Lonchura striata: one gene and its partners. The protein of the gene in region 1 purifies or fractionates together with the protein of each later gene. This does not show direct contact. Links are inferred from orthologs where the notes say so. Each region holds a gene or a part of one and is shown in the gene's direction. Other genes may lie near its edges. The genes, in order: MBTD1, EPC2, MRGBP and H2AZ1.

Region 1 (7,793 bases):
CCCATGGAGCTGTGAAATAAAGTCTCAGAGAGTCCAAAATAATTCCCTAAAGCTGCAGTGGGTTGATTCCACAGCACATTTTTGAGGGCTGTTACAGTATGTGTCATACTTTGGCTTCAGCTGAAAGTTAGATTGCTTTGCAGATGAAATAAAAGCAGATTCAAAAGGGAAAAGGCACCAAGGAAGCAAAGCTACACAGACCATGCAGAGAAAGTACCTTCATGGACAGCAAGTGAAGGTACCCTGAAGTTCCAATTAGCAGCATAAATGATCCATCTGGAGAGAGTTCGAAGTTTCTGAGGAATTTTTCCTCCACACCTTTAAAAAGAGATTTGAAACTTGAAATTGGTGCAATTTATTCTTTGGCCTCAATATTTAGAGATAGGATGAATATGAATAAGACCTGATTCCAGCTCTTAATTTCTGCAATATGCTGTCACAGAGAAGCTGAACTCAACCTTGCTTGTGTGTGATAATTAATATCCCAGACAATTAACACTAAAGGTACTTTATTTCCTTGAAGATAAGTTAAAAATAAAACCTCCAACAAGCCACTCTACATTGTTTTAAAGCAAATTCATGTGCCATCTCTATTTCAGACAGCTTCAACTGTGCCCAGACACTCAGAGCTGCAAAACATACCTCGTACTTTTGGGACAGGGATGATACTCCCAGCCATCATGTCATACACAAAGAACATTCTGTGGTGAGTACCAGTGGCTATAACTTGTTCTCCATCCACACTGAAACGAGCCTTATAAATTGGAAAACTCTCTAAATAGATGCTCTGTATTTTTGGGTTCCTTATACCATCCACCTTCAAAAAAGAAAGTAACAAACCAGGTTGTTATATTGAGGAATATATCAAACACTTTTATAGAGAAAAATCATTATCAACTTCTCAGTTGAGACTTAAGTAATAAGAGGTACACCACTGTGAAGCCTTAAACTCTTCCCCTCTCCTACAAATAATCTGGTTCTTAGCTCCTTATCTGATGTAACTCTGCCTCTCTGATAGACCTCACACTTCTTGCTTTGTTCAAATAATCACTTCTACTGTGCTTTTTCTAAATGGAAACATCTGCTTTGATTTGGGTTTTCTTGTGGCTCTGTGAGACTATCACATTCCACTTGTCTGACCATTCCAGTGACCCTGGGCCATGCTAAGAATTCCTAAATTAAATTAGGATCTTTAGTTTTCAGAGGAGCCTGGCAGTGTCTCTGGATGAACATCTTCCTGCAGCACAGTCTCTCCATCCCCAACATGATTTCATAGCAATTTTACAGTCTCAAAGCAAAGTGGGCTGCTCCCCCCACTACAGGCTCTCCAAACCACTTAGCAACAAAAATCCTCATTAGCACTTGTCATTTGCAAACCTTCAAACATTTTTAAACACAAATCTTTGCCTAAAAACTCTGAGACAAAGTGTTTGCCAGTACTCTGCACATGCTTGGTGTGAAGTCACTGGTGGAAATTCCTTCCAAGATGCCTTTAACCAAGGAATTTCCATTGTAACCACAGACATTATGTAAGCCCTGACAGTGTGCAGAGGAAGACAGAAAACAAAGTCTACCATTCCAGGCTATTTCATGTACACTCAAAGAAAAGGTTCTATGTTAGTGACCATCAGCAGGTACAAACTGAAGCTTTCACCTGGAAGAGGGACACAGAGCGATCATGCCCAGCTGCCATCACCACTTGAGCTGAAGGATGAAACTGCACTGTCACCAGTTTTCCATTGGCAAAACGTTCCTGGTTTGCAGGAGGGCAGGTGCTCATCTACAACACAGATCAGACAGTTAAAAAAACCACCAACAATCACTCATGCTGAATAAAAAGCCATTTACTCTTTGCGCTTACAAGACCTCAAGCCCTGTGATGAAGTTCTGGGCAGTGTGATGTGAGCAGAGCACACACAGCCCATTCAGGGAGCTGCTCCAATATAATACAGGCTGAATTCACCAACCTTTCTATATTCACCAACCTTTCTATCTGCATTAAAACTGAATATAAAACCAGCTGCATTCTGACTCATCTGAGATAGCTGCAGGAGACAGTGTGAGAAATACTCATTTAAGGCTGTCTTCTTAAAGATCTTATCAGTCACTTCAATGCTGTAGGAGAATTCCATCCTTCTGCAGAAATTAAAATCCTACTACAAGATGCTATTTAGAGTGCAGAAAATTCTTATGTCAAACAACACACCTCAGTTTATTGTTTCATACTCTCATGTGAATTGTTCAATTTGCTTATCCTCTAAAGCTTCTAGTTGCAGAAACAAATTCAAAGAATCACTAATTTTATACACCACAAGAGTCAAAGTGTGCATTTAATCCAGCTGAAGTGGCAGGATAAGGTTTGTCTTTACCTTCAAAATCCCTCTTGGCAGAGACTCTGAGCTGGTTATGAAATTGCCAGTCCTGCGTAGCAGATCATCATCTTCATCAGTGTCACCTCATTAAACCAAAGCACGTGGAATCAGCTAATTGCACAAACACCCACAGCAAAATCAACACATTCCTCACTGAAATGAATTAAAGCACATTGAAGGAACAAAGCTGACATAGCCAGCATGTTATTACACCACTGAAACTAAGAGGACATCAAAAGTAATTATCTTCTAGCAAGCTGAATAGGGAATCACAGAAACTCTTATCAGAATAGCATTGGGAATATTTACTATCACTCAAAGTCCTTTTGGATTTCTTCCTGTTTTCTAGATCAGCCCAGGCAGGAACTCCTCCCATGGCATTCTGAAACCTTATGAGAAAAGGAGAAAGAGAAAAAAAACCATAACTTTTGTGAGACAGTAATTTCCTTCTATGAGTTAAGTATTTAGAAGAAGCACAGTCAGAATTTTGCAGGACTACTTGTACTTAGAACACAATGCAAGTTTTTTAATTTCCTAAAAAAAAAAAATTAAAATTTCATTGTTTCTTGCATAATTCCCTAGAAAACAAATTAGTTTGGGCACTTTGATATAAGTATTAAACAACTTAATCCAGACAATGCTAACGCACATTTAATTTACTATTTTTGGTATCATTTGTTATTTAGTAACACTACAAATACTGCAGGAAGCCCTGACTTTAAAGAGACCACATAAGCACAGTGGATAAAGAGTAAAGTGACTATGAATGTCACATAAATATATTTTAGCTTACAAAATTGTTGGCTTGGAAGGGAGACCATCCAGTCCAACCCCTCACTACAGCAGGGTCACCTGGAGCAGGTGGGAACATGTCCAGGTGTGTTTGGGATGTTTCCAAGGGAGACTCCACAGCCTCCCTGGGCAGCTGCTCCAGTGCTCTGTCAACCTCAATGGAAAAAAATTCTTCTTCATGTTGTGATGGAACTTTTTGTGTTTTAGTTCATGGTCACTGCCCCTTGTCCTGCTCAAAGTGCCACTGAAGAATCTGGCAACATCCTTCTGGCACCCAACTTGGAGAGCAATGATCATGAGATCAATACAGACAGCCACAAAAACATTAATGAAACTCACTGTTCCTCAAGTCTTTTCTTTAGTTTCTTCTTAGTAAGCGTTGTCTCGGCATCACTTTTCATTAAATCTTTCCTGTATTTATGGGTCATATCAACACTAGAGGAGAAAAACCAACAGAACACAAACACCGTTCAAACCAAGGCCGCTTACAAGCACTCCCAAGTGTAATACACAATTCCCATCACCTAACCTGAACTTACATTTCCTCAGCTTCGTCATCCTCATCCACCCAGGCGGGATTTTTGAGCAGTAACCCGCGTTTCGCTTTTTTCTTCACCCTCGAATCGCTAGAGTCATCCTGGAGGCCCTTCCCCTCTGCAGCAGCAACCTGAAACCAACCAAAGGGACCGTGTGACAGTGGCAGGGCCCGGAGCCCGGGCAGCGAGCAGGCTCTCGGCTGTGCCGTACCCGTCGGGGCCCGGCCAGGCGCCGCAGCAGCTCGTCCTCCTCCTCAGGGAGGCTGCCGCCGAACACCAGCTCCTCCAGCTCCCGCTCGGCGCCCGACGCGCGGCTCAGCGCCTTCAGGTGCCGGGCGCGCCGTGCTGCCTCGGTACCCGCGGCCTGATTCGCCACGGCCCGCAGCTGCTTCGCCGCCCGCTTCGGTTTCGCGGCTTTAGCCGCTCTGGCGCCTTTAGACGTTTTCTTGGCCGCCTTCATCCCGGGCGCTCTCCCGGGCGCTGCCGCCGCCCGCCCGCGCATGGCGCGCCACACCCGGAACCGGAACACGTGCGCTCGATCACGTGATCCCCAGCCCCCGCCCGCGATTGGCTTAGGACGCCAACACCCCCCCCATGTGACCGAGCCCGCCCCCAGCGGCGACCCGCGGTCACGTGACTCCTTTCCTCCCCTCCCTTCGCCCTCAGCTCCCGCCCACCCTGGGCCGCACCACTGCGAACCCGCGGGGGGGAATCCCCCACCCGGGAGGCAACAGGCGTCCCTCACCGGCTGCTCCTGGCCTTCCACCGGCACCTCCCCTGCGCATCGCCTCTCTCTGCCAGACACGGCTGCTCTTACACCCCGCAGTCCCTGCCTTGGCGCGGAGCGCCCACCTCCGGTAAGGAATGGTCTCGCCCAGCGTGGGGGGAGGAATATGGCAGCGGGGCCGCTCCGCGCAGCCCGACGGCGGCGGGGGCGTGTCCGCGCCTGCGCAGCCGCGCGCTCGTGTTGTTGATGTACCGGCGGCCGCCGCCGGTCCCGCTCGGCCCCGCTCGGCCCGCGGCGCTCGCAGCGGCCGAACCGCCCGGCCCGTCCCCGCCCCGCCGGGCCCGGCCCCCGCCGCGCCCCCCCGCCGCGCCCCGCCCGCCGCCGCCCGCGCGCGGAGGCAGCGGGCGGCTCCTGCCCATGAGGGCCTGATGGAAAGCACAAAGGAGCTGGTGAGTACCGGAGCCCGCGGGCCGCGCGGGAGGCGGCGCGGGGGCCGGGAGGAGCGCGGCGGGGGCGGGAGCTGAGCGATCCGCGGTGCCCGTGCGGGAGGGGGCCGGGGCCGCCCGCGGGGCGCGGTGCGGGGCCGGGCCCCGCCGGGGTGCGGGGCTGCCGGGGCCGTGCCCGCCGGGCCCGCCGAGGGTCCCGTCCCGGGAGCCGCGGCGGGGTCCGCCCGGGCACGTGGCACCGGCCCGGCTCTGCCCCTTTGTTGCGGGCTCCGGTTTTGTCCCTCGCCCCTCTCCTGCCTCCGAGAAAACTTTCAGCTCCAGCTGCTTCTCCCCCTGCTCCGCTGTCGTGCCGGGTTTCAGTAACTTCCTCCTGCTGTTTCAGCCTTTTAAAGTTCTTCAGCGTGGTCACGATAAGTGCTTGAGAGTTTTCTTTTTTATCAGCACTTCAAAACTTTTGGATTCTTTGCGGCCACTTCCTCCCCTCTCCGTGCGATTTTTGTGTCTTCTGATGTTGTGATTTTGTTATTTTTGCGAGGAGTAGTAAACTCGTGAAACCAGTTTCGCTTTCAGGTTGTTGCTGGAAATGTTTGAAAGTGTAGCAATTTCTGCCCAGCGTGGCTTTGAAAATTAGAAGTCCTGCTACAAATCTTATGCTGATCATAGTGATAAATTCTGTGTGTGAAAAAGCAATTTATTTTAAAATGTGACTGGCAACTGTTGTGATTTTTCAAATCTAAACCTAGTCAAAACTGAAAGCTGCAGGGCAATCTCTTGTATTTAAAATTAAAATTATTTTGCAGGTTTGAGGACCTGCATTTACCTATTAATTGTATTCAACAGTTTGCTTTTGACTTAAATGGAATGGATTAAGGCTATGAGAGTCTAATCTGGAGCCTTCAATGAGAACTAAAATTATATATTCTGTTAAGAAGGCAATAAAACTTGGTAGGTTAATTGTCTTTAGAAGTGTGTAATGTGGGCTGTAGGAAACTATGCAGAGGGATCTTGTCTCCCAAAAACAGTTTGAGTGTTGTTTTTGAGAATATTTGGACTTGTGCACATGCAGAAAGATTGCAAACTGAAAGTAAGAATTCTCTTTGCTGTTCCCTAAAGAACAAGGTGCCTTTGGCAGCAGTGGTAATATGCACAAAAGTTCCTTCTCTTTAGCTTTCATTTCTCTTACCTTCTAAAATTTGATTTAATTTTGCAAGGCTTTTCATATCTCCTGCAAACCACTGCTGCATTCCTTCATTTCTCAGGTAAGTTGGTATACATACTGGGGATGTGGGATCCTTTGCTGAGCCTGGCTCTGAGCACGTGGAATGAATTCAGGTGTTGAAGACTTTGGTTTTGGGTTGGTGGTGGTTTTGGGGTTCTTTATATTTAAATTTGTTTGTTTCATTTGGGGTTTTGTTTGTTTGTTTTAATGGTAACACAGTGTTTAAAGTGAAATATTTGCCTCTTCCTGATACTCCTGTAAGGGCTTTGTAGAAATATAAAAGAGTTTGTAACAGATTTTTAGTTTTATCAAAACTCAGATATTTCACAGATTAATCATCACACCCCCCCTCCAAAATTTCCTGCTAATGTGATATATTTTTTTATGAAAGAGTCTCCCCTCTTGTGTGAAACCCCCTGGGGAAGAGGCTATGGACAAAACCATTGACAAACAGCAGAAACTGGCTTCAGACAAAATGCTGTCATACATAGCAAATGAAGAGACAGGAAAAAACATTTCTGTAATTTTCCAGCAGAGATTTTACTTATAATAAGAGTGGAAGGCACATTTCCAGATAGAGGTGAGTTGCTTATATAAAAAAAGTAAGTTTGGTTGGTTCTGATTTCCAAGAATCCCAAGATGTTTAGTTTTGGGGTCTTTGTTTGTTTTTAATGAAAGCTGAAAGTGTGTTTTCTTTAAATTGGTACCATGTTTGAATTTTCTTTTTTTGGTTATTTTCTGAGGCACAATTAGGCCTCAGAACACAACTCAGTTCCACAGGGACAAGCTACTATTCTACTGTAAATTATTTTGGCCAACTTGCATTCAAAAGAGATAAATTCAAAATAAATTAATTCTGTTGTGGTGTTTCCTTAACATCCAAACCTGAAAGTAAGTTTGTAGCATAAAGCATCAATGAACTATTAGAAACAAAACCTGTGCATCAAATTTAACTTGGAAATACCCTTGGATCCATTAAGGATATGTGATTAAAGTAAATTTGTTTTATGCCAGACCCTTGGCTTGAAGGTTGTGGTGACCTCATTGTTGACCTTGTTGACCCATCTGTCCATAGTTCTGTCCCATTTGAGAGGGTTGGAGCTGAATATGGGAAGTGATGCCTCTGTTCAAGTGCTGGGGTACCTTTGCTGAGCTACAGCTCTTGTACTCCAAGCTCCAAATTGCTGCCATTCTGAGTTCAAACCCCAGGTTGAATTTAAAAGTAGCAATAACCATTTGGAGTGATTTGAAACCTTTCTGTTGCTGTTTTGGATCTTCCTCCTGTGGCCAGCTGCACTTACCCGGGGGCAATAGGTTTGGTTACACAACAATGGGGTGTTGTTTGTGCAAGTTCTTACCTTCAAAACTCTTTTGCATAAATTTTGCCAATGCTTGAGTATAGTCTTCATCAAGACACTAAAGCCATTTCCTAAGTAAGTGTTTGATGTCTAAATAAGATGAAATGGTTTCTGGTTTTGCCATGGATTGCTCACTCTTTGTGCCCATTTTTTGTGTTGTAAGAATAGTTACTAAACTCAAAGAATGTATGCTATAATGTGTTGATCAAATTCAGTGTGTGTGTATATATATGTATATTAAAGTGTATATTTAGAGTGAGAAACTGGTTATTTTCTGATTTGTTTAGAGTTGCCTTCCTGCTTTCAGGGAAACCAGTTTCCTTAGCTATGTTCTTTTTCATAC
Region 2 (7,475 bases), on another chromosome or scaffold:
ATTACATAATGATTACAATAATCATTACAATAATAATGAGATAATCCAAAAGTGATGCTTCTGCTTGGAGAAGATTAATGCAGCGAGATATGAAGTGTTAAGAAAAAAAAAACATACAAAAACCAAGAAATAAACAGGATAAATCTGCAAAAAATCTGTAGAAATATCCCAGGCTTTAGGCAGCTACAGTGAGAACAAGGATTCCTTGTGTTAAGTGTCACTATGGAGAAGCAGAACCAAAAGCAAGGATGTGATGAAGCCCTCGAGCCTATACAGCTCTGACATTTCCACTGATATATATATTTAAATAAAATTAGTGGATTTTTGGTCAATCCAATGTTCAAATTGCATATTCAATTCCATTATCTCCATGAAGATGAGTCAGAATTCAGCTATTGAACAAGTAATTTTGTTTGAGACATTGTTTCCTTGATTTGTGCATGAAAAGTAAATTATTTTATCTACAGGTGAGTTACAGCTCCTAATATTTTTACAGCTACAATTCTTCAGAAAACCTATAATATTTTACAAGAGGAAGAGATCAGATTATGTGCTTAAAAGATGGATGGTTCTGGCTTAAAGCTGAACTAATGCAAGCTGAAACTTTAGTTCTGCCCATGTTCAGCTCTGTGCAATGGCTTTTTTGACTACATAAAAAACTCCTTCTGTACCCTACAGGGCATCATTAAAAAAAAAATTGCATTGCTTGTAGAAATAAAATAATGGGATGAGTTTAGGACTAAGAGCCACCTGGAGGGTAAATATGTTTCATTTTTGCATTTTTTTTAAATGTAAGTAGTGAAAAAGAGCAGAACACCACACAAAGGGAAAAGGTTGTTATTATCTATTGTTCAGCTGTGCTGACTGAAAGGGGGAAAAGTCTTCCAGCAGTGTGTAAAATGCCTGTTCCTTGCAGAAGCAGAAAGAGGAAAGTCGTGGTGTCTTTTGGAAGTGCTTGAGGAGGAGCTGCCTGCTCCTCTCCCAGGGATGTCACCTGTGCAGCAGGGCTCACAACTCCCAGCTGCTGGCACCCAGGTGGAAAACACAGAAATCACCCCTGAAATGCCAGCCCTCCTCTGCTGCCAGCTCAGCCCCACTTGCTTCAGGGGCACCAAACCCATTTTGGGTGTAGGAAGTTTGGCTGCTTCTAAAATGGTGCTGAATTATAAAGTCCAAGCTAAACTATATCAAATTTAAATATTTACCTGTTAATTCTAATCCAAGGCAAGGATTGCCTTTCTTATGAAATAAAACTACTCTAAGGGAATTATAAATAAGTGCAGCCTATCACAGTTTGATTCTCTGTTCCTTTTCTCATGCTTTTAAAGCTTCGTGTTCTCACATGACTGGACTCTTACCTGATGCTTTCATAGCAGTAGTTAATATAATTTCCAGATCTCTTTCCCAAGCTAATTTGTGTCTGTGGCTGATGAACACAATGTTCTTGCTCCTTCTGTTTTCTGTTTCCCTCCTGTGTATTCCTGTGCTTGTTTCATCCTCCTTCTCTCTCTCTCTCTAGTTGACACAATTCTTTAGTCTTCATTTTGTAAATCATGTGTTTGTCACAAACAGCAGTTGTATTTGCTATACAGAACCATGTAAATAAAAAACACAACAGGTAACTAAAAATAAAAGGCAATTCAGAGACTGAACCAATTTTTTCTCGAATTTAAAAAAAATGGAAATTAGGTACAGTTGGCACAGTGATGCAAACAGTGAAGTTTTGAGTAAGAGTTTCAGTTTGTTTCAGAAGGTAATATTGACAACTTCTGTGAGAGCTCTAAGGTGGAGGTGAGAGAAGCAGCTGCTTGGTCTCTGGGTGTCAAAATTAAATGGAAGTGTGGAGGTATTTGAGGTACTAAGGGTCTTTGATGAAGGGTTTTGCAGACTAATGTCAACTCATGCATTCCAGAGGAAGCTCTGGGTGGGTAGAGGACTGAGGCTCTGCCCAGGTAAGAATATGGGGTTACTCAGTTCCAAGTTGTAGAACATTGTTATTGATGGAAAAAGTGATGAAGGAGTTTAGTAAACTAAAACACGAGGAGTTCCACCTCAGCATGAGGAATAATTTTCCATGAGGGTGGCAGAGGATGGGAACAGGTTCCCAGGGAGAGTGTGGTGTCTCCAGAGTCATTCCAAACCCACCTACTCCAGGTGACCCTGGCTGCACTGGATGGCTCCCAGAGGTCCCTTCCAACCCTAAATATTCTGTGATTCTCTGGAAAAAAATATAAAATTGCACAAGCACAAGTTTATTTCTGAAGTGTTGTTTTGTGTCAACCCTCCTGACATCTTCATGGCTGGAACTCTTTAAGTCCACATTGACCAACACGCTGAGGAGACAAACCTGCTGGTTTGTGCAGAGAGTGGGGACACTGTGGGGACACTGGGGAGACATACAGATACTGTAAGGACACTGTGGGGACACAACAGGAACATTGTGCAGACACGGTGTGGATGCTGCAGGGCAAGCAGTGGTGACACTATGGGGACACGGCAGGGACACAGTGGGGGATACAGGGGGGACACTATGGGGACACGCAGGGACAATGTGGGGACACTGTGGGGGATACAGGGAGGACATTATGGGGACACTCAGGGACAATGTGGGCCACAGTGGGGGATACAGGGGGGACACTGTGGGGACATGGCAGGGACACAGTGGGGGATACAGGGGGGACACTATGGGGACACGCAGGGACAATGTGGGGACACTGTGGGGGATACAGGGAGGACATTATGGGGACACGCAGGGACAATGTGGGCCACAGTGGGGGATACAGGGGGGACACTGTGGGGACATGGCAGGGACACAGTGGGGGATACAGGGGGGACACTATGGGGACACGCAGGGACAATGTGGGGGATACAGGGGGGACACTGTGGGGACATGGCAGGGACAATGTGGGGACACTGTGGGGGATACAGGGGGGACAGTATGGGGACATGGCAGGGACAATGTGGGACACAGTGGGGGATACAGGGGGGACACTGTGGGGACATGGCAGGGACACAGTGGGGGATACAGGGGGGACACTATGGGGACATGGCAGGGACAATGTGGGCCACAGTGGGGGATACAGGGGGGACACTGTGGGGACACTCAGGGACAATGTGGGCCACAGTGGGGGATACAAGGGAGACACTGTGGGGACATGGCAGGGACAATGTGGGACACTGTGGGGGATACAGGGGGGACACTGTGGGGACATGGCAGGGACAGTGTGGGACACTGTGGGGGATAGAGGGGGGACACTATGGGGACATGGCAGGGACAATGTGGGACACAGTGGGGGATAGAGGGGGGACACTGTGGGGGATAGAGGGGGGACACTATAGGGACACTATGGGGACATGGCAGGGACAATGTGGGACACAATGGGGACACTGTGGAGGATAGAGGGGGGACACTATAGGGACACTATGGGGACACAGCAGGGACCATATAGGACACAGTGGGGGATACAGGGGGACACTATGGGGACATGGCAGGGACAATGTGGGACACTGTGGGGGATAGAGGGGGGACACAATGGGGACACTCAGGGACAATGTGGGACACAGTGGGGGATACAGGGGGGACACTGTGGGGGATAGAGGGGGGACACTATAGGGACACTATGGGGACATGGCAGGGACAATGTGGGACACAATGGGGACACTGTGGAGGATAGAGGGGGGACACTACAGGGACACTATGGGGACACAGCAGGGACCATATAGGACACAGTGGGGGATACGGGGGGACACTATGGGGACATGGCAGGGACAATGTGGGACACAGTGGGGGATAAAGGGGGGACACTGTGGGGACACTGTGGGGGATAAAGGGGGGACACTATAGGGACACTTTGGGGACGCGGCAGAGACAATGTGGGAAACTGTGTGGGGCTTTGTGGCGACACTATGAGGAGACAGAGGGGATCATGTGGGGATCATGTGGGGACACACTGGGAAGAGACTGTTGGGACAACACGGGAATACTGCGGAGAGACAGCGGAGACACTGTGGGGACACCGCGGGGGCACGGCAGGGAGACAGCGGGACCCAGCGGAGGCTGCAGGGACAGCGCGGGGACAGCGCGGGGACAGCGCGGGGACAGCGCGGCTCCTCGCCGGGACGCCCGGCGCGCTCCGCTGCCGCCCGGTCCCGCCGCCCCCCTCAGGCTCCCGAGGCTCCCTCAGCCTCCCGCCCTCGGCTGCGCGCGCAGCGCCGCTCCCGCCGCGCGGGCTGCCGGGAGGGCCGAGCGGCTGTGGTTAATGTCCGCCATGTTTGCCATGGCGCAGGGAGCGGACCGAGCGAGCCCGGCGCGGATCTAGGGCTGCGGGGCGTGCGCTGCGGGCTACGGGCGGCCCCGCCGGGAGCTGCGCCGGGGCGGCGGGACTCTCCATGGTGGCGCGGGCGCGGCGCGGGAGCGGCTGGGAGGCGGCGGCGAGGCCGCACTGAAGGCCCCCCCCCCCCCCCCCCCCGCCCGCCCGGCCCCGGGGTGTTATTGTGAGGGGGAGACAATGAGCAAACTCTCCTTCCGCGCCCGGGCGCTAGACGCCGCCAAACCGCTGCCCATCTACCGCGGCAAGGACATGCCCGACCTCAACGACTGCGTCTCCATCAACCGGGCCGTGCCGCAGATGCCCACGGGGATGGAGAAGGAGGAAGAATCGGTAAGGGAGCGCGGCGCAAGGGGGGGCACCATTGTTTACAGGCACCCCCCGCACGGGGAACCGGCCGCCGGTATTCACCAAGCGCGCTACGCTCGCTCCGCCGCGGGGCGCTCGGGGCGCTGCGCAAACGGCGCAGCGTAAGCCGCGGTCCGGCGCCGCGAGCGGGCCCTGCCGCCGTCCGCCATCTTCTGCTGCGCGTCCCGGGCGCGGGTGAGCGGGGGGGCTCGGCGGGACGGGCCGGGCCGGGCCGGGGCGGGCTGCCCGGCGGGGCGCGGGATGGCAGAGCGCCGAGCGTGCGGCGCGCCGGAGCCGGCTCGGGGTGTCAGCGCGGGGTGTCAGCTCGGAGCGCCGGAGCGGAGCGCCGGAGCCGGGCTGCCGGCGCGGGGTGCGCGGGGTGCCGGAGCGGCTGCGGATGCCGGGCGTCTGCAGCGGGCTCGGGATGCCGGCCGGGCGGAGCGGCTCGGGGTGCTCGGCGCGTTGTGGACTGAAGCTGATACTACTGCTGCCGGCGCTGTTGTGAGCGGCTGTCAAGTCGCTCGGGCTGGAGCCGGGGAGGCGGTGGCGGCGGTGTGAAAGTGCTGGGTGCTGTGCTGAGCCGCTCCGCAGGGAACGAGCGGCTCCGGGCCGGCTCCTGCCTTTGCCCGCTGTCCCTCTGCTCCGGCCGGGTGTGCCCGAGCCCGGCGGCAGCTCCGTGTGGGGTTTGGGCTGCTGTCAGTGCCCGCGCTTGGTGCAGACGCTGTGCACATGTGGGGCTGAGGGCACACACACACTGCACATGTGGGGCTGAGGACACACACACACACACTGCACATGTGGGGCTGAGGGCACACACACAGTACACATGTGGGGCTGAGGGCACACACACTGCACATACACTGTGTGCACTTGTGGGGCTCTGGGCACACACACACACACACACTGTGCACATGTGGGGCTGAGGGCACACACACACACACTGCACATGTGGGGCTCTGGGCACACACACACACACACACACTGCACATGTGGGCTGAGGGCACACACACAGTGCACATGTGGGGCTCTGGGCACACACACACACACACTGTGCATATGTGGGGCTGAGGGCACACACACACACACACACATTGCACATGTGGGGCTGAGGGCACACACACACTGCACATGTGGGGCTCTGGGCACACACACACTGCACATGTGGGGCTCTGGGCACACACACACTGTGCACATGTGGGGCTGAGGGCACACACACACACAGTGCACATGTGGGGCTGAGGACACACACACACACACACTGCACATGTGGGGCTGAGGACACACACAGTGCACATGTGGGGCTGAGGACACACACACACACACACACGGTGCACATGTGGGGCTGAGGACACACACACGGTGCACATGTGGGGCTGAGGACACACACACGGTGCACATGTGGGGCTGAGGACACATACACACACACACAGTGTGCACATGTGGGGCTGAGGGCACACACACTGCACATTTGGGGCTGAGGACACACACACACACAGTGTGCACATGTGGGGCTGAGGACACACACACGGTGCACATGTGGGGCTGAGGACACATACACACACACACAGTGTGCACATGTGGGGCTGAGGGCACACACACTGTGCACATGTGGGGCTGAGGACACACACACTGTGCACATGTGGGGCTGAGGGCACACACACACACACTGTGCACATGTGGGGCCGAGGGCACACAGCAGCTTTGGCTCCCGCTGTGGGACAGTGTCTGCGTTCCTGCAGCCACCCCCGGTGCTGCTCGGAGTTATTTAACACCGATGGTTTGTGCTGCTGCTCGCAGTGCATCTCTCGGCAGAGGCGTTGCGTGAAGCGTTGGAGCTTTAATGTTATTTCCAAATCACCTGGCCGGTGTTCAGCCTGGACGTGTGATGTGTGTTCTGCTCGTAGTGTTAAAGGGTGGCAAAGCTTTTGTGCGCTGAGGTAAACATAAGTTTCTGGCGGTTTTGGTGAGCAGCAGGACAGCTTTGAGAACGCTTGCCCGCAGTTCTGGTGTCCTCTGAATGTGCTGCTTTGTCCTGCTGATCTTCAAACACTTTTCTGTAAGAGTAAGGTTTATTTTCTGCTCCTGGGAGTTGTGTAAGCTCAGACAGAGGCTGTCGCCTGATGTGTCTGTACTTGCAGAGCCGATAGTAAATGCACCCTCCAGAATTTCCTCAATGAATCCGTGTCTCCGCCTCGGCCAAACCTCTGTGCCTGTGGATTGGCTTTTCCGAGGTTACAGCTGTCAAAGGAGGCTCCATGCTTTCCTCGTTGCTTTTTCTCACCTGACTGTTGGTATTAAAAGCAATCCTTTGTCGTATTATGGTGAGCTTTTATTTTTTAATTTACTGTGTTCACATTGTGATCAAAACCTCAGGAATTCCCCGAGAGTAATGCTGCTAGAAGCTGGATTGTAGTTAAAAGGAACAGCACTGGGGTTCTAATGAAGCAGTATTGGAGACTAATTTGGTTTTCTCAGCCTCAAAAGTTGCATTTAATATTTAAATTAATTCTTTAAATTTGCTGTTATTTTGATAAATCATGTTTAAAATAAAGTTGTTAATGGAAAATTGCTCTAAGAGTTCAAGCAAACAAGCTGCTTATGGGCTTCTTAAATGATTGGGAAGATTAGATTTCTACTTCAATAAAACTACCTGAGTGTTGTCCTAAAAAGTTGTTTTTCTGTGTGAGTGAGGTTTGTTTTCTCAGCCCTGACATGTGGCTGTGTTTGATATATTATGTAATAGTCTCAAAATGAAACGACTGAAGCAATACATAAACATAGTGCGAGATGCATCAGCCA
Region 3 (7,242 bases), on another chromosome or scaffold:
AAAAAAAAAAAAAGGGTTCTAAGAGGATCTCCCAGACCCCTGAGTGGTTCTGTGCGTGTTTAAAGGAGCAGACGTGCTCCATGAAAATCTGCTGCCACCCACCGCCACAGCGACAGTGAGTGTGGCTGCGGTTCCAGTGCCAGCTAGGCAGGGTTACTGCTCCTCTGCTTCCCCTCTGCAGATCCTCTCTGCCCATGCTGCCTCTTTGTTATTTTACAAATTAATAGTTGTAGTTAAAAAAAATTAAAATTAAATGCCCCTGAGAAGAAAGGATGAGCTGAACAAGCCTAATCAAATGTTGAAACTGTCAAGGAAGGGAATTCCTTCTGGATCTGTCCGGACCAGCTGGGCTAATGGGACTTTAGTTTGCTGGCAGGTACAATCAGTAAAAATCACCTTCAGTAAAACATACTCTGATGTAGGCTTGGGCTAGCCAAGGATTCAGGAATTGATCCTTGTGCTCAATGTTCAATTGAACCTTGAGCTTGTTCATTATAAATCCACTGGTTCGTCTTTCTGCCTCTCTGTAAGCCTGGGGTATGATGGATTTATCAAACTGAAAAATCAGTAAATGGCTTTTCCTTCTCCAATCCCCTCTGTGCTGGGATATTTTAAAGCACAACAGCAGCAGTAACAAACGCCTCTGTGCATGCTCAGAGATAATTATTTGCACTGTTTTCATCTACTTTGCCAACGTTTGCCATCTGATGCCCACCTAATATGAAGCTTCTCTCCGCTGGGAGAACGAGCACAAATGATCACAAGGGAAAAATTCAGTTTGGGAACATATGTTGGAGCAGAGTGGATCCCCTGTTTGACAGCTGCTGCCCTCAGCCTTGCTGCTTCACCCTCATTGTGATTTAAATTCCCTCTTTTGCACCTGTAAGAAGCCGTGCAGAGCAGATCTTGAGAGTGAATTTTCCATTCAATGTCCTTGTTTAATATAATCTAATACACCTTTAAGCAAAGAAAAAAGGTAATTATCTGGAAGAGGCAATGCTGCTCTAAGGGGCTTTGTGATAAGACTCTAACAACAGACTGCTTTATCTTCTAATAGGGAGAAAACCATCCCCATATCAAACTATCTTCACTGATTTATTAAATGATATGTAAAATAAACAAGCTCCAAGTTTTGGACAATTCCCTGGGCAGCTCTGTTAAAGCAAATTTTCCCACAGATTTCACACTTAAAAAAAAAATGGATTCTGAAAGTACAGCTAAAGCTTACAAATCTCATCAGAACTCTCTCTTCAGGAGGTCCTCCTCAGTCATAAAGGGTATTTTATTCAGAAATACTGGAATGTGCCAAGGTATGGAGGTTACTTATTTTGTAGGAGGACTTATGGATCTGAGAGGAATTTGTTGCAGGAAGAAGCTCCAGAAAAATGTACTTCTGCATGTACTTCTTACCTGTGTAAGAAAAAACCTGTTAGACTCTCTATTCAAGAAGTTCTAAACCACCCCCAGAAAAGGTTAAAAGATTTGGTTTAATGCAAAAGTAGGCAGATGATACTCTTTTACAAATGTTCATGAGGCACACCAAAAGTTACAGGATTTGGAATTAAATTTTTGCTTTGTTAAGGGCACTAGCACATGGTGTTCTAAAATAACGACAGAAATAGTTGTAGCCATATTGCTTATCCCAGAAATCCAACACTTCTAGGGAGAATGCCAAATGCCAGGCAGATTTCTCAGTTGTTGCAAAGTCTTAGGAAATTACTGATCATCTTCTGGTGGGGGAAACACTGATCCAGCCAAGGGCTCAGCACCCTTAGGTGACACAACAACCAGCCAGGTTTTTTAAGCAACCTAAAGAGTAGGGAGAAAAAGGAAGAAATAAAATCATGCACTTCTTACACAGCCCTTATCTGCTTAAACCCAAAAGTAGAATTTAAAGTTGAATGGGAGAAGTGCAATTTTTTCTGAAAAATCTGTTAACTGACTGGGAAAAAAAACCAAACACACACACAAAAAAAAACCCAAACCAAAAAAAAAACAAAAAAAACCCACAAAAAAACCCCAACCTAGTCAAATTTAATGAGGGAAAAAAATAAACTCTGGTCAAGATCCAGGTGGAGGCTGTACGTAGCATTATTATAGGCTCCCATATGTTTCCTAGAGGCATTGAATGTGACAAGGGAATTTAGACACACAGAAATTATTTCTGATTGAAACAAAATAGCAGCCAGTTTGTGCACATACTGCTCCTGTTGCACTAATATTATTGTACTGAATTGAATTGTTTTCAGATGCTGTTTTATTTTCAGAGGTAGGCATCAGTTTTTTCATACTCTGTTTCATGTTACTTTTTTTAGCCATCAGAAGTTAGTGACATAAAAATTGCTGTCTGAGTTGACACACTTATTCCCTCTTGATGTCTTTAAGTAGGAGCATAATGTGACAGATGAGTGCTGAAACTCAGTGTCTCACACAGGCTTAAAAATAAGTTATGCCTGCAAAACTTTGAAAACTGTTCTACTGGGGAACAATTTTTACACTCTGAAAATTTGCTTTCCTTTCTCCCCTCATACAGAAACATGTATGAAAACAGGGATTTAGTTGTGCAGGAGATCATTTCCTCCTGCTGTGCAACCATCACAGGAAATCATAAGCCTTTCTCTCAGTAGCAGCTGAAGACCAGGCAGCAGTGTAGATCAAATAAAAACTGGAAGATTAAACAGGGCTGAGATTTAGGGCTGGGTTTAACTGCAAAAACATGAGGAGCTGTCTTTGAGATTTGCAAAGTCCTGTGGATAGGTAATTTTGGTTCAAAACGAGGAAATCGGTGTGAAGCCTGAGCTGTGTGAAGGCAGACCCAGCACAGCCAGGACACAGGTACAGCAGTGACAGCAGGCAGAAGGAATAATCCTGAGATTCCTGTGGTCTTGATGCAGAGAAGTTGTTCCAGCAAGATCTCTGCTCACTCTGGAGCTCTCAGAGAAAGCTGTTCCTGGAGAACTTCAACAGCATCAAAGCCAGACTGGAGTCACAGAATCCTTTCCATTCCAAGAGGCCAGAATAAACCCCACTGGAAAAGAGGATTTGTATCCAGGCATCCACATCCAGGATTCACACAACAAAACTTCTCAAGGCTTCACACATGAGGTTCTGGGCTTAATTTATTTCAAATGTTTATTTAATGTTAGATTAACCTGTGTGGGGTATTAACTACATCAAGCCCAAAACAATGATACGAGTCAGCTCTTTGGGTATGAACAGGTACAGAAAGTTCAATTACAGAAAATTGCATATTTCCCTTCCTGCTTTTTATTATTTGGATAATTTGCATGAAAATAATATCTCTGCTTGTGAGTGTTTGCCCCCACTGCTTTATTATTCACTCAGAACACTCATTCCTTGCATATGACGCGATCGTTATTTGCTGTTGAAATATTTTTAATGTCACAAAATGGATTAAATCTTCAAGTGAGGAGTGAGCAGTTGGAAAGCCCTATCACCTAAGCAACAGCAGTCCTATTTCATGCTTGTGTGTCTAATTATACTTAACAAGGCAAAAACCCTTTATCGCCGAGGGAGTAATACGTTCCCTTTCTTCCCAAACATTTTTTTTTTTTTTTACATCTTAAAAGATGGGCAAAGCTGGTAGGTTCTGCATTTTGTAACCAAGCCAGGCACAGTTATTTGTTAAGCATCAGCGCCAGGTTGGTATTTGATATAAAACGATCCTGTTGTGTCAAGGAGCAGTCAGGGGGGTTGCAGTGCTTGGGACATCCTTCACCGTGGCAGCTCCTCGTGCCAGACAAGGACAGGCCATGGGGATAGATGCTGAGCTGGCCAAGACCTCACAGACCAGGAGGGGAAGCCCTGGGGTGGCCGAGGCAGCCGGGCTGACCGCCAGCCCAGCCGCAGGGCTCTCAGAACGCAGAGCCGAGCCCTGCGGAGCCCACGGGCACTGCAGCGCGGCCTGACACAGCAGCGCGCTCCCTCAGGCCCTTCCCAGCGCTCCCTAACGCTGCTCCCAGAACCCCGCGAGCCTCCTGCCGGGCAGAGCCGCGGGCTCGCCGCTCCTCAGGGCCGCCCACCGCCGCTGCCCGCCCGGTGCTGCCCGCCCGCGGGCTCCGGCGCTGCGAGCGCGGGGCTCCCCGTCCGGCGGAGCCCCCCCGAACCTGCGGGGCCCCGCCGAAGCTCCCCCGCCCCCAGCCCGGCCCCGGCGCGGCCGAGCCCGGCTCCCGGCCGGCAGGAGCCGCTGCGGGCGCGGCGCGGCGGGGATGAGCGAGGCGGAGGGCGGCTCGGCCGCCGCCGTGGAGAAGCCGCCGCTGCCCGCGGCCGGGCCCGGGGCGGCCGCGGCGGTCGCTGCCGCTGTTGCGGCCGCGGCGGCGGCGGCGGCCGGCCCGGAGCCCGGCGCGCCGGCGGAGGAGGCGGCGGTGGTGTGGAGCCCGGAGGTGGAGGTGTGCCTGTTCCACGCCATGCTGGGCCACAAGCCCGTAGGTGAGCGCGGGCCGCGGCCTCCGGGAGCGGCGGGGCCGGGCGCGGGCTCCGGGCGGCCGGGCCGGGCCGCGGGGCCGGCGGGAGGGAGCGGCGGGCCCGGCCGGGCCGGCGTGCGAGCGGCCGCGCTGCGCCTCCACGGCGGCTCGGAGCGGGCCGGGCGGCGCGGGCCCGGCTCGGCAGGGTCACCGCAGAGCACGCGGCGCAGCGCCGTGTGCCGGCCGGCCTGCGATAAATCCAGCGAGGGAGGCTCCGCAGCCGCTCTGGGCAGTGTGTTCCAGTGCTCGCAGTAATGAGGTTCTTGCCTGTATGCAGGTGGAGCTTCCTGTGCATCAGTTTGTGCCCGTTGCTTTATGTCCTATTGCTCTGCACCACTGAGCAGAGCCTGGATCCATCCTCTTGGCACCCCCCTTTTCAGAAACAATAATTCATAAACATTGTTTGAGATCCCCTCTTAGACATCTCTTCTGAGACTGAACAGACCCAGCTTTCTCTCCTTTTCATTGTCAGAGGGATGCTCCAATTCCTTCTCTCAGTGCAGCCACACCAGGAGCTCTGTGTCTGTATTGCAGTCAGGAGCCCAGAACTGGGCACAGCACTCCCTATACATCCCTTGGGATGTTTCTCACACAGCCCCTCTAAAAACTCTGTGTGTGTTAGAATTAGCCACAGGGGCACCCGCAGCTCCCTAGAGAACAGCACCTGCAGTGTAGGGTGAAAGATCAGCCAACCCCGCTGCCAGCTGTCTCTCCTGTTAATGTATGGATTCCTTGTAACAACATAGCTTTTTTAATTCATAAGTAAATAAATAAATCTCTTTATATCTCTAAGTATCATAACTAAAACTGTTAGCAGCGTTAATTGCACTGGGTTCTTCCCCCCAGGTGTGAATCGCCATTTCCACATGATTTGCATCCGGGATAAATTCAGCCAGAATATCGGACGGCAGATCTCATCCAAAGTGATCTGGGACCATCTGAGCACCATGTATGATATGCAGGCTCTTGTGAGTATATAGGGTTGGTGCTGCCACATGGTTTCATGGAGTTCAGAAGTTTTGCCAGGCCAGAATCACTGGGCCTGTCATGGTACTTAGAATTAGGTGTCATTCCAGTGAGTTGATCGGGTTTTCCCTGAATAAAAGTAGATTAGGTAGGAGACAATAAAGCCTGCAGTGGCTTTTTTTGGGTTTTTTTTTGATACCATGTTCTGACTTTGTTTATTAAAGTCACCTAAATTCTGATCCAGAAAATGTTGATATACATTTATAAGTGTCAAAGGAGAATGTTATCATTGTGTACATAAGAATTTGCTATGTTTGAGTTCCAAAAATGATCTCAGATGATGGTGAGTTGTGATCTTAGGTATCCTGACCTCAGTAATCAGTTTGATATTAGAAGCCTCCTGATTTTCTAACATCTGAAGTGTCTTGTTAAAAATTATATAGCTCCTAATTGCATGTAAAATAGAACTTGAGATTGCATGTCAAAATTCAAATTAAAGTCTTTACCAGTCACTCACAGAGATCCTTCTTTTCTTTCTAAGCATGAATCTGAGATTCTTCCATTCCCTAATATAGAGAAGAATTTTGCTCTTCCTGACGAAATGATTCAAGAAGTGAGAGAAGGTGAGATGTGATTGCAGGCTCTGATTCTTGGTTGCTTTATTCTCATCTCAGAATTTTTAACAAAATTCCCCCCAGAAAACATGTATTGTCAAATCTAATAGAAATGTACAGGAGTTTGACAGAAATCTCAGGTTGAACAGCGAGAGAAGGATTTTGAAATTTAGCTGATGTGTGTTATACAAAGTAAGAACTAGAAAATTCAAGCACCTGCCAAAGACTTCTTGGGATATTTTAAACTTCAGTGGAATGCTTCTCAATTATGAGGTACATTAAACTTTAAAAATTCAGTGAAAAATCTTAGCACAGATAAGACATTGCAATATGTTTTGCCCATGCAGCATTTCACTTTCTCATGTTAATAATAATTTCCTGGCACTGAATTATTGCTGAGCGTTGCATGGACTATTTGCAAACATACAAATATGCAGAGGCTACTAATCCAGAAAAAATTCACGTGGTTCTTTAAAACCATCTAACTAATGCTAACAATCCTTTCTGTAGGAAAAGTAATGATGGAAGAAGAAGTGAAAGAGGAAGTTTTAAAAGAAGAGATGGAAACGCATGCAGGTCCTGAAGAAGGTAATTTTGTAACTCTCTACTGTGTAATACGAGATTAAAAACCAACTGTAATTGAGAAATTAATGTTAAAATGTAAATCCAAATGCAGTGTACTGTGTGATTTGTACTCAGACTTAGCCTGTGCTCCTGCTAAGAACTTGACTAATAGTGCACAGAGTAAGCAGCTGCTTATTGAAAAGATTTCTTTTTTTGCTCCTAATTCATCTGTACAAAGTTGTATAGCTTTGGAGATTTTTTGCTTTAATATGTACTTGACAAACCCCTGGGAGTCTGAAGGAATCTGAGGATCTCTGGAAGAAAGCTGAGTCTGATTTTTTTGAACTTAAATGCTCTGTGTTTGGAACTTTGTAGTCATGGGGGAAATAGGGCCTATAAATCAAAAGAGATTGTAAAATTGCGTGCTGAAATGGGAAGGTGGGCAGAATGCTTATTTTATTTTATTCTCATTATCTTGCTGCTTTTAAATAAAAGGCTTGTTTTCCTAACACTTCGCTGTAGAACAAGTCAAATGTGAACAGTAGAGATCCTGCTATTTATCTTAACAGACCAAGCCAACTGCTAACTATATAATTTCATCATATTTATATCAC
Region 4 (7,282 bases), on another chromosome or scaffold:
GCACAGATAAGAGGAAGCAAAGCACACAGCAAAAAGAGAGTGTTGAAGGATAAATTTCTGTGTAAGACAATGGGAAGGATGAGGTTAAGGAGTTCTGGCTGTCACCATCTTATTTCACCTTGCCTAACTAGCTGTAGTTTCCTTTCAGAGCTGGCTAAACAAGAACAAAAATATTAATACAGTTTAGTCATTACGACATTATTAATAGCAAACAGAAAGGTGTACCATTAACACCCTATAGTGTGGCTATAGGGGTAATTCAAGTCTTCCTGAAATCAGTACACAAGTGTTATCTGCAGAACTATTACAGAGACTTGTATTTTGTTACAAGTATAGAAATTTATCGGAAAAGAAACCCTCCTGCTTTCCAGTTGGTCCTCAGAGGCGCTAGGTGCAGTTAGGTTTAATTTTTTTATTATAACCAATTCAGCACTGTAAGCCCAGCTGCATTCAATAAGATCCCACAGGCACCAATACAGTGGGTCTCATTCACAACCAGAGATTCACAAATCAACTTACCAATGAAACACTCTAAGTCTGGCTGGGTTCAGAAGAACTCACACAAATACAGGCTCACAAACAGTTGTGGAACAACAGACTGTAATTCTTACAGATTGGCAACTATGGATTCATTAGATGTGCAAAATATAAATATATAGTACTATGTACAAGTACTTCCAGGTATGTTCTAGAGGTGCAAATTTTACAAAAGAGGTATCCCAAATTTCGGGAAGGAGAGAGGAGTAAACTCTTGGACTTGTCTGCAAGGTAATAGTATTTTCAAACTCTGCCATGGAGGATTTCAAATACCAAATCACATTTTTTGGAGAAGTGGAAGTGAGAATGTAGTCAAATATTCTGTTAGCTGCTATCACAAAGGGGAGGGGTAGACCCTTTATACCTAAATGAGGAATAAAGAGAGCTATAAAAAGAGAGATTACAAATGCTGTATGTCTTAAGCAGGGGCAGAACAGGACTGTGACACCTAAGTGTTACTCCCTCTTCCAGCTGGATTGCAGTGATTAGAATCACCTACAATCTACAGATAAAATAACCTATCCCCCCAACGGCAGGCCAGCAGGCCCATGGTAATCCCTTCACCACATATCTCACACCAATCTCATTCCTACAATGTGTGAAGCTGTTTAGAGATAACAGATAAATAGCTATATCTATATATGTGAAGCTGAACAATCGAATCCATTATCACTACAAACAATACAACAGTGCTGGCACAGAGGGTGGGATTTTCCTGAACCTAAATACAGCAGCCAGCGAGGAGACCCAACTGAGCACAAACCTGCTATTTGACAAATAATAACAGGGGCAAATACAAGTCATACAGGAATTAATCTCACCACAAAAACTAGAGCCTGAATAATTTAAGTGGTGTCTAAAAATAATCCCTTACGAACTATATTACTCACCTAAGGGGAGTTGGTTCAAAGTTTAGCATACTAAAACCTCTGACTAAAAACTGTGTACTAAAAACTTAACTGCTTAGCTGTCACCTAAAAAATTAATTTCTTAAATGCTCTCTGCCTAGCTTTTGAAGTTCCACAGATATCCAGATTTGTATCCTGGGAATACCATGGCAGAGCTGAGCACCTTGACATGTATCTCCCACTTAAACTTATGCAGGATCCAGAAACTGTAAAGTTCTGAAGGCTGTGGTACAAAGAGATTTCTGGGAATGCTTCATCAGCCCACTAAAGATGATCTCCACCACTTCTGCAGAAATTAAAATTCTGCAAAAAATGAATTCAAGAAAGTCCAAATATTATCATGTCCATAGCCCAGTACTTAGAGAGGGCTGAGAAGTAGTACCCGCTTTAGAGAATTTGTTTATGTTTTTGAGGCAATTTGAAATAATAAGGAAATAATACCAAGTAGTAGGCAGAATAGAAAAGAAAACAACACTATACTCCAATTCTAAAGTTCTGAAAACCCAGGCAGGTGGTTGAACAAGGCAGCAGCAGCCTGAATGCTGGGCCGTGTGTGATCCTGCAGCAAAAGCAGCTCAGGCACAGCCTGCCCAGCACAGACAGCACTGCAGTGCCCACACAACATCAGCAATGAGAAGCACCGGAAAAAACTTCACAGTAAAAAAGCTGGGGCACAAGTGCTGGGTAAATGATGCAAACATTCACCACTGTGGCCTTCAAAGGGAAGACCCTTGGAGATAGGCTTTCAGTACAAATATTATAAATATCATTAGGAACATGGAGCTGGTGAGTACTCCCTTTGGCTCCTTTTGTGCATGTGGGATTGAGGTTGAGTTATTTGCACTCACAGCTGGGTCTGAAGTTGCTTTGGGATTGTTCCTGTGTACCTAAGTTTGTTTCAGTTTATCTCTTTAAATAGCAGAGAGGGGAGTTCAGGTTGTGCTCGTGAGAGTATCTTGCTAGCCAGCATGAGGCGATCTGAGGCTGGTTTCATGTACTCTACCTGACCCATCCCTAGCCTGATCTGTGTGGTAAATATATATCCTTGCTTTGGTTTATCTTTGGTGCTAGGCTGCCTTGCCTGGTAATCCCAGCTGTAAGGAGCTCCAAAGCAGCCAAAGTGAGCTGTGTGGAAAGTTCATGTGTGAAACAGGGAATGTCTGTGGCAGGGGTTGTCTCTATCTGATAGGAGACCTTCTTCCTCTTCCTAGGACTTGTGTGGACAGAAACCAAAGAGAAAAATAATTTTTTTGTTTCTTCCTACATCTTGAATGGTGTTCCACAAGGGTATGATGGCCTGCAACTTAGTTCTCTTTTCCTGCATGGTAAAGGGCACATGGATCCTTGATTTTCAACACAAATAGTTTTTAAACAGCATGCTGAATGAAATCTTAAGTTCTGCAGGCTTTTGTAAAACCTTGAGGTTTGTTTTTAAACCAACTCTCCCCTCAAAATCCTTCAAACCCTCTTATCTTTTTTTCTTGCGGAAGGAGAGTATAAACAACTGATGATTCAAATAGACAGAAGCACCAGACAGTTACATAAAAACAAACTGCTAGATCCCTGCATGTAGGAGTGTCTGCTCTCAATTCAGTCCTGCCTCTCTGTGAATGTGCCTGGAAGTAGGTCTCCCCACCCAGAGATGATAGCAGCTGGGATTAGATGCCCGAAACAGGGTGGTGAAGTAATTGATGATGTGGCCTTAGGCTGTGTAGAGATTCAAGCAAAGGGTCCTTTATAGCCAGGGCACCAAGTATTTGCAGTCAGATGTGGGAGAATAAGAGCCACAAAGTTTTAAATCTTTTCTACTTGTGTGAACAGCTTGAAAGACCTTTAAGTGAAGCTCTAGGGATCAGGACATATCCTGTCTTAGAGCTCTGAGTACTTTGGTTGCTGTAGACCTGAATAAAGGGGAAAAGTTATGGTGTAGAGAGAATTCTCATGAGAACTTTATGCCCTCAGCTCTACGTCCCATTAAATGTCTGGCTGTAAGAGTATTCATTGTGCTCAGGACCCTTCAATATCAAGGCAGAGGAAATACAAACTACAAACCCAAAGTGGTGGGTTTGTGATCAGGTTGGTAAACTGCATGACTGATCTATCTCGTCTTCTCTCTAAAGAGCTGCTCAGCCATCTGAAGGCCGAGGTCTCTCTCTGAGCTCACTGCATGCTCACAGATGAACAGTAAATCTCTCAGATAATACAGATTTACAGTGTTCTGGAAGAGCACAGTGAATTGTTACTTTTTTGAAGCTGAAAATATAGGATTAACCAAAAACAGCATCAGCTGAGCTCTGAGGTTAAATGGCAATATACTGAAAATGGCAACCCAAAAAAAAACCCAAATGGGTTAAGGCTTCATTTAAGGAAACACAGGCAGGGATTTTGAAGTGCCCAAGGTGAGGAAATTTGCACTGCATTAATTGTTACACTTTGAACATAATTAATGATAAACTGCTTTTAACTGTAGTTTGTGAAATATCCGGTGACACAAGGGTGTCTGAGGCTGGGTGGTCCTAGGTATTGGTGCATCCCCTGCTTATAATAGGGGTAAAAATAAAAATCAGTGCACATGTGTAGTGGTTGGCACTTCTCCAGCCCGGAATCTTGAGGAGTTCATGCGAGCTTTATTCGACGCCCCTGAGCAGCCTCGTGTCCTCGGCAGTGTAATAGCTCCTCATCCCAAACGCGGGACAGTGTCCTTCGGGCTGCTCCTGAGGCGCTCTGCACACAAAGCCAATTAACTCCACTGTGGAGAGAAAGCTTCGCCGGCAGTGCGGCGGCTCTGGAGCGACCCGAGTACAGCGGGACCTGGCGATACAGAACCCCGCGAAAATGAGTGGAGTGACTCCGGGCAGGGTCTGTGCCGCCGGTCACCCCAGGGAGACCCAACCTCAGAAGGGGGGGCCGCCGCCGAGGCGAAGGAAGCCCGCACACGGCGGGAGCCCCGACGGAGCGCGCCCCGCCGCCACGCCCCGCCTCGCACCGGCCCGTGAGGGCGGGGCTTCTCCGCTCCCCGCCTCGCGCGGCCGGCCCCGCCCCGGCACGCCATTGGTTGTCGCTGGGGCAGAGCGGCCGCCCCGTCCGCCGCCATTGGCTGGCGGCGAGGCCGGAGTTCCCGGATGTGGCCGCGCGGTGCGGATATAAAGGGCCGGGGGAAGGCGGGAGTGGGCGCAGTTTGAATCGCGGCGGGTCGAGTCAGCTTGGTGCTGTCGGCCGGGCTCGGTGCGTGCGGGACGCTCTCTGCTTCAGCCTTCCCCTGCGCGGCACTGCGCTCCGGTTCGCTATGGTGAGGAACCGCGGGGGTCGCTCTGGGGGTGGGCGGCGGTGCTGGGGCCGGGGCGGCTCCGTGCCGCTGATGGTGGGGGGGTAAACCGCGCGGGCGCAGTGGGGGGAGGGCGGGGGCGGCTGGGGGGCGAGGGGGTGGTCGCACGCGCAGTGGCGCCCCGGGGACGGGGGAGCGGTGGCCGCGCATGCGCGCGGGGAGCGGCCTGTGCCGCGCGGTGCGGCAAGCGGCGCGCACGCGCCTCGCGGCCGCGCGGGTGACTGCGCCGGGAGGGGGGGTGGTGGAGGGGCGGGGCGCATGCGCGGTGGGGGACGTCAGCGTCTGCTCTCCTCTTGGCATTGCTAGGCTGGTGGGAAAGCCGGGAAGGACTCTGGGAAGACCAAGACCAAAGCAGTGTCCCGTTCCCAGCGGGCTGGATTGCAGGTGAGCAGGGGCTGAAGTGTGGGTGAGTGAAAGTCAGGCTGGCCTTCATCTGTTGGTTTGTTTGTGCAGTGTGAAACCTTCACACTCTGCTGTCTGGCTGTTGCCTGGAATGATATAAGGATTGTAAAGCAGACATCAGCACACCCAGCTGGTTTTAGACCGTTGCATATCTGTGCAGGGAGGAAAGTAATTCCCTTGTGGCCATTGCTATGTTTGTGCTGAGAATCATGAAAGTTGCTTATGTGAGTTCGGCATGCAGTGTCTTAACTGTATTCTCAAGGTTTGAAATGCAGCCTGTGCTTCTGCCACTGGGATTCTGCTGCCCACAATGGGGTTTTGTGCAGAGCCTTTCTGTCGTCACAGCCTGTTCATACTTCCATTATTTTCCAGTTCCCTGTTGGCCGCATCCATAGGCACCTGAAGTCTAGGACAACTAGCCATGGGCGTGTAGGAGCCACAGCTGCTGTGTATAGTGCTGCAATCCTGGAGTACCTGACAGCTGAGGTAAAATGCTTGCAAGGGGTGCAAGCAAATTGATCAATCCCCAGAAGGCACAACAACCAGTGCCTACTGTATTTGACATTTTGGACTGGGTTGCGAACTCTTTGTGTGCTTTGAAGCACTTCTAAAGTGTCTCAAAAAGCAAAAGACCATGAAAAGTAACTCCTCTATATTTCATGCAAGCCCTGCAGCTTGCCTTGTAGGAAAAATGCAGTGTGTGAAATAACTTTTAAAATGGACCATTACAGCATGTCTTATCTGCTGTAGAAGACTTACTCTGTCATTGGGAAAACTAAATGTGAAGCTCCAAAGGAGGAACCCCTTGAAAAGAGACATTGTTTTCTGTTTTGGTGTTAATGGCAGTGACACTGTATTTGGACGAGAGAATTGAATAGCTAAGACTGTGCTGTTGGTCTCACTTGATTGTATAACTGTTGAAAAATGGTCTTGTCTCAGGTCCTTGAGCTGGCAGGAAATGCATCCAAAGACTTGAAGGTGAAACGTATCACTCCCCGTCACCTGCAGCTTGCCATTAGAGGAGATGAAGAGCTTGATTCTCTGATCAAGGCAACAATTGCTGGTGGTGGTATGTCAATACTTGCTGTTTATGGGTGCTTGGGTGGCATGAACTCTCACAGACTTGAAGTTCATTAGTGTTGTCATTTTATTGGAAGTGTGAAGTTTAGGAAAATTGAAGAAAAACAGCATGGTCTTAACTGTTGTTCTTTTTTAGGTGTAATACCACACATCCACAAGTCTCTCATTGGCAAGAAAGGACAACAGAAGACTGTCTAAAGCATACCAGGATTCCTTGTTATCTCAGGACTCAAAGTACTTAATTTGTCCAGTGTTGGTGATTCCAGTGGACTGTATCTGTGAAACACAATTTTGCCTTTTTTTAACTTTGAGAAGCTAAAGCTCCCTTGAGCTTTCTAACAAACCAAATTTCTGCGTTGAAGTCTTAACCATATTTAAGTGTTACCATGGCTTCAAAGAAGCTATTGTGTTTGTAGTGGGTTGTAATTGAGCTGACTGTTTTTAGATTGGCTTAAGTAAAGGAAATGTTTGGTTTTGTACAGACTTTTCATCTACTAGAGTGGAAATAATAAATGTTATGTCAAGACTGATTTGTGTCTTTCATTAACTGGAAAATCTGGTCTCCACTGTGCTGCTCTTGAAGTTGTTCTGAGAGCAAGTAACTGACAACCCTTCCTGCTGGGCTTGGGGCATCTTGAAATACAGCCTAAGACTACTGCAGCCAGTAAATGCCATGCAGTGAAAGTGCACAGGGCTTTGTCCTGTGAAGTTACATTCTTCCTAATTGAGCCTACTGTGCCATGTGCTGAAGTTTTCTTTAGCAGGGCACATAAAAGGCTGATGTTATTTAAGGCCAGTTTTAATCAGTGTCAGCCTTTGTAGAGGGTGAGGGTCTGTCACGGAGGAGGGTAAAAGATAAGTTTCAAGGGCTGTTTAAATTCCATGCTTCACATAATTTCATGTTAGGGTCTGGCCTCTTACTGTTTCAGCTTGCAAAAGCTTTGGCTAGACACCCACAAAAGCAGGGACTGTACTGCAGCAGCCTTTTAAATTGTGCCATGCAGCAAAAACCTCAGTAGTGGATTTCAGG

The links.
Region 2: the proteins of MBTD1 (region 1) and EPC2 purify together in Homo sapiens (affinity purification with mass spectrometry; 3 studies listed by BioGRID and IntAct, with this or other methods). This does not show direct contact. The link is inferred for Lonchura striata from reciprocal best matches to the Homo sapiens genes MBTD1 and EPC2.
Region 3: the proteins of MBTD1 (region 1) and MRGBP purify together in Homo sapiens (affinity purification with mass spectrometry; 4 studies listed by BioGRID and IntAct, counting the BioPlex papers as one, with this or other methods). This does not show direct contact. The link is inferred for Lonchura striata from reciprocal best matches to the Homo sapiens genes MBTD1 and MRGBP.
Region 4: the proteins of MBTD1 (region 1) and H2AZ1 purify together in Homo sapiens (affinity purification with mass spectrometry; 3 studies listed by BioGRID and IntAct, with this or other methods). This does not show direct contact. The link is inferred for Lonchura striata from reciprocal best matches to the Homo sapiens genes MBTD1 and H2AZ1.

The regions. Positions count from the first base shown.
Region 1 is NC_134621.1:6,273,504-6,281,296, reverse strand, and holds the start of MBTD1 (MBT domain-containing protein 1), read left to right. Parts: upstream 1-4,787; 5' UTR 4,788-4,855; coding exon 4,856-4,876; intron 4,877-5,104; exon of another isoform or gene 5,105-6,672; intron 6,673-6,694; exon of another isoform or gene 6,695-7,793. Other genes in the region: UTP18 (U3 small nucleolar RNA-associated protein 18 homolog), read right to left, coding at 218-318, 643-817, 1,655-1,780, 2,370-2,455, 2,682-2,761, 3,504-3,599, 3,704-3,831, 3,912-4,202. UniProt on the Homo sapiens protein: Chromatin reader component of the NuA4 histone acetyltransferase complex, a multiprotein complex involved in transcriptional activation of select genes principally by acetylation of nucleosomal histones H4 and H2A.
Region 2 is NC_134610.1:2,339,105-2,346,579, reverse strand, and holds the start of EPC2 (enhancer of polycomb homolog 2), read left to right. Parts: upstream 1-4,470; 5' UTR 4,471-4,508; coding exon 4,509-4,661; intron 4,662-4,782; exon of another isoform or gene 4,783-4,871; intron 4,872-7,475. UniProt on the Homo sapiens protein: May play a role in transcription or DNA repair.
Region 3 is NC_134619.1:5,558,994-5,566,235, forward strand, and holds the start of MRGBP (MRG/MORF4L-binding protein), read left to right. Parts: upstream 1-4,229; coding exon 4,230-4,449; intron 4,450-5,330; coding exon 5,331-5,452; intron 5,453-5,991; coding exon 5,992-6,073; intron 6,074-6,574; coding exon 6,575-6,652; intron 6,653-7,242.
Region 4 is NC_134606.1:49,664,623-49,671,904, forward strand, and holds H2AZ1 (histone H2A.Z), read left to right. Parts: upstream 1-4,620; 5' UTR 4,621-4,731; coding exon 4,732-4,734; intron 4,735-5,076; coding exon 5,077-5,154; intron 5,155-5,544; coding exon 5,545-5,658; intron 5,659-6,111; coding exon 6,112-6,241; intron 6,242-6,388; coding exon 6,389-6,450; 3' UTR 6,451-6,782; downstream 6,783-7,282. UniProt on the Homo sapiens protein: Variant histone H2A which replaces conventional H2A in a subset of nucleosomes. Nucleosomes wrap and compact DNA into chromatin, limiting DNA accessibility to the cellular machineries which require DNA as a template.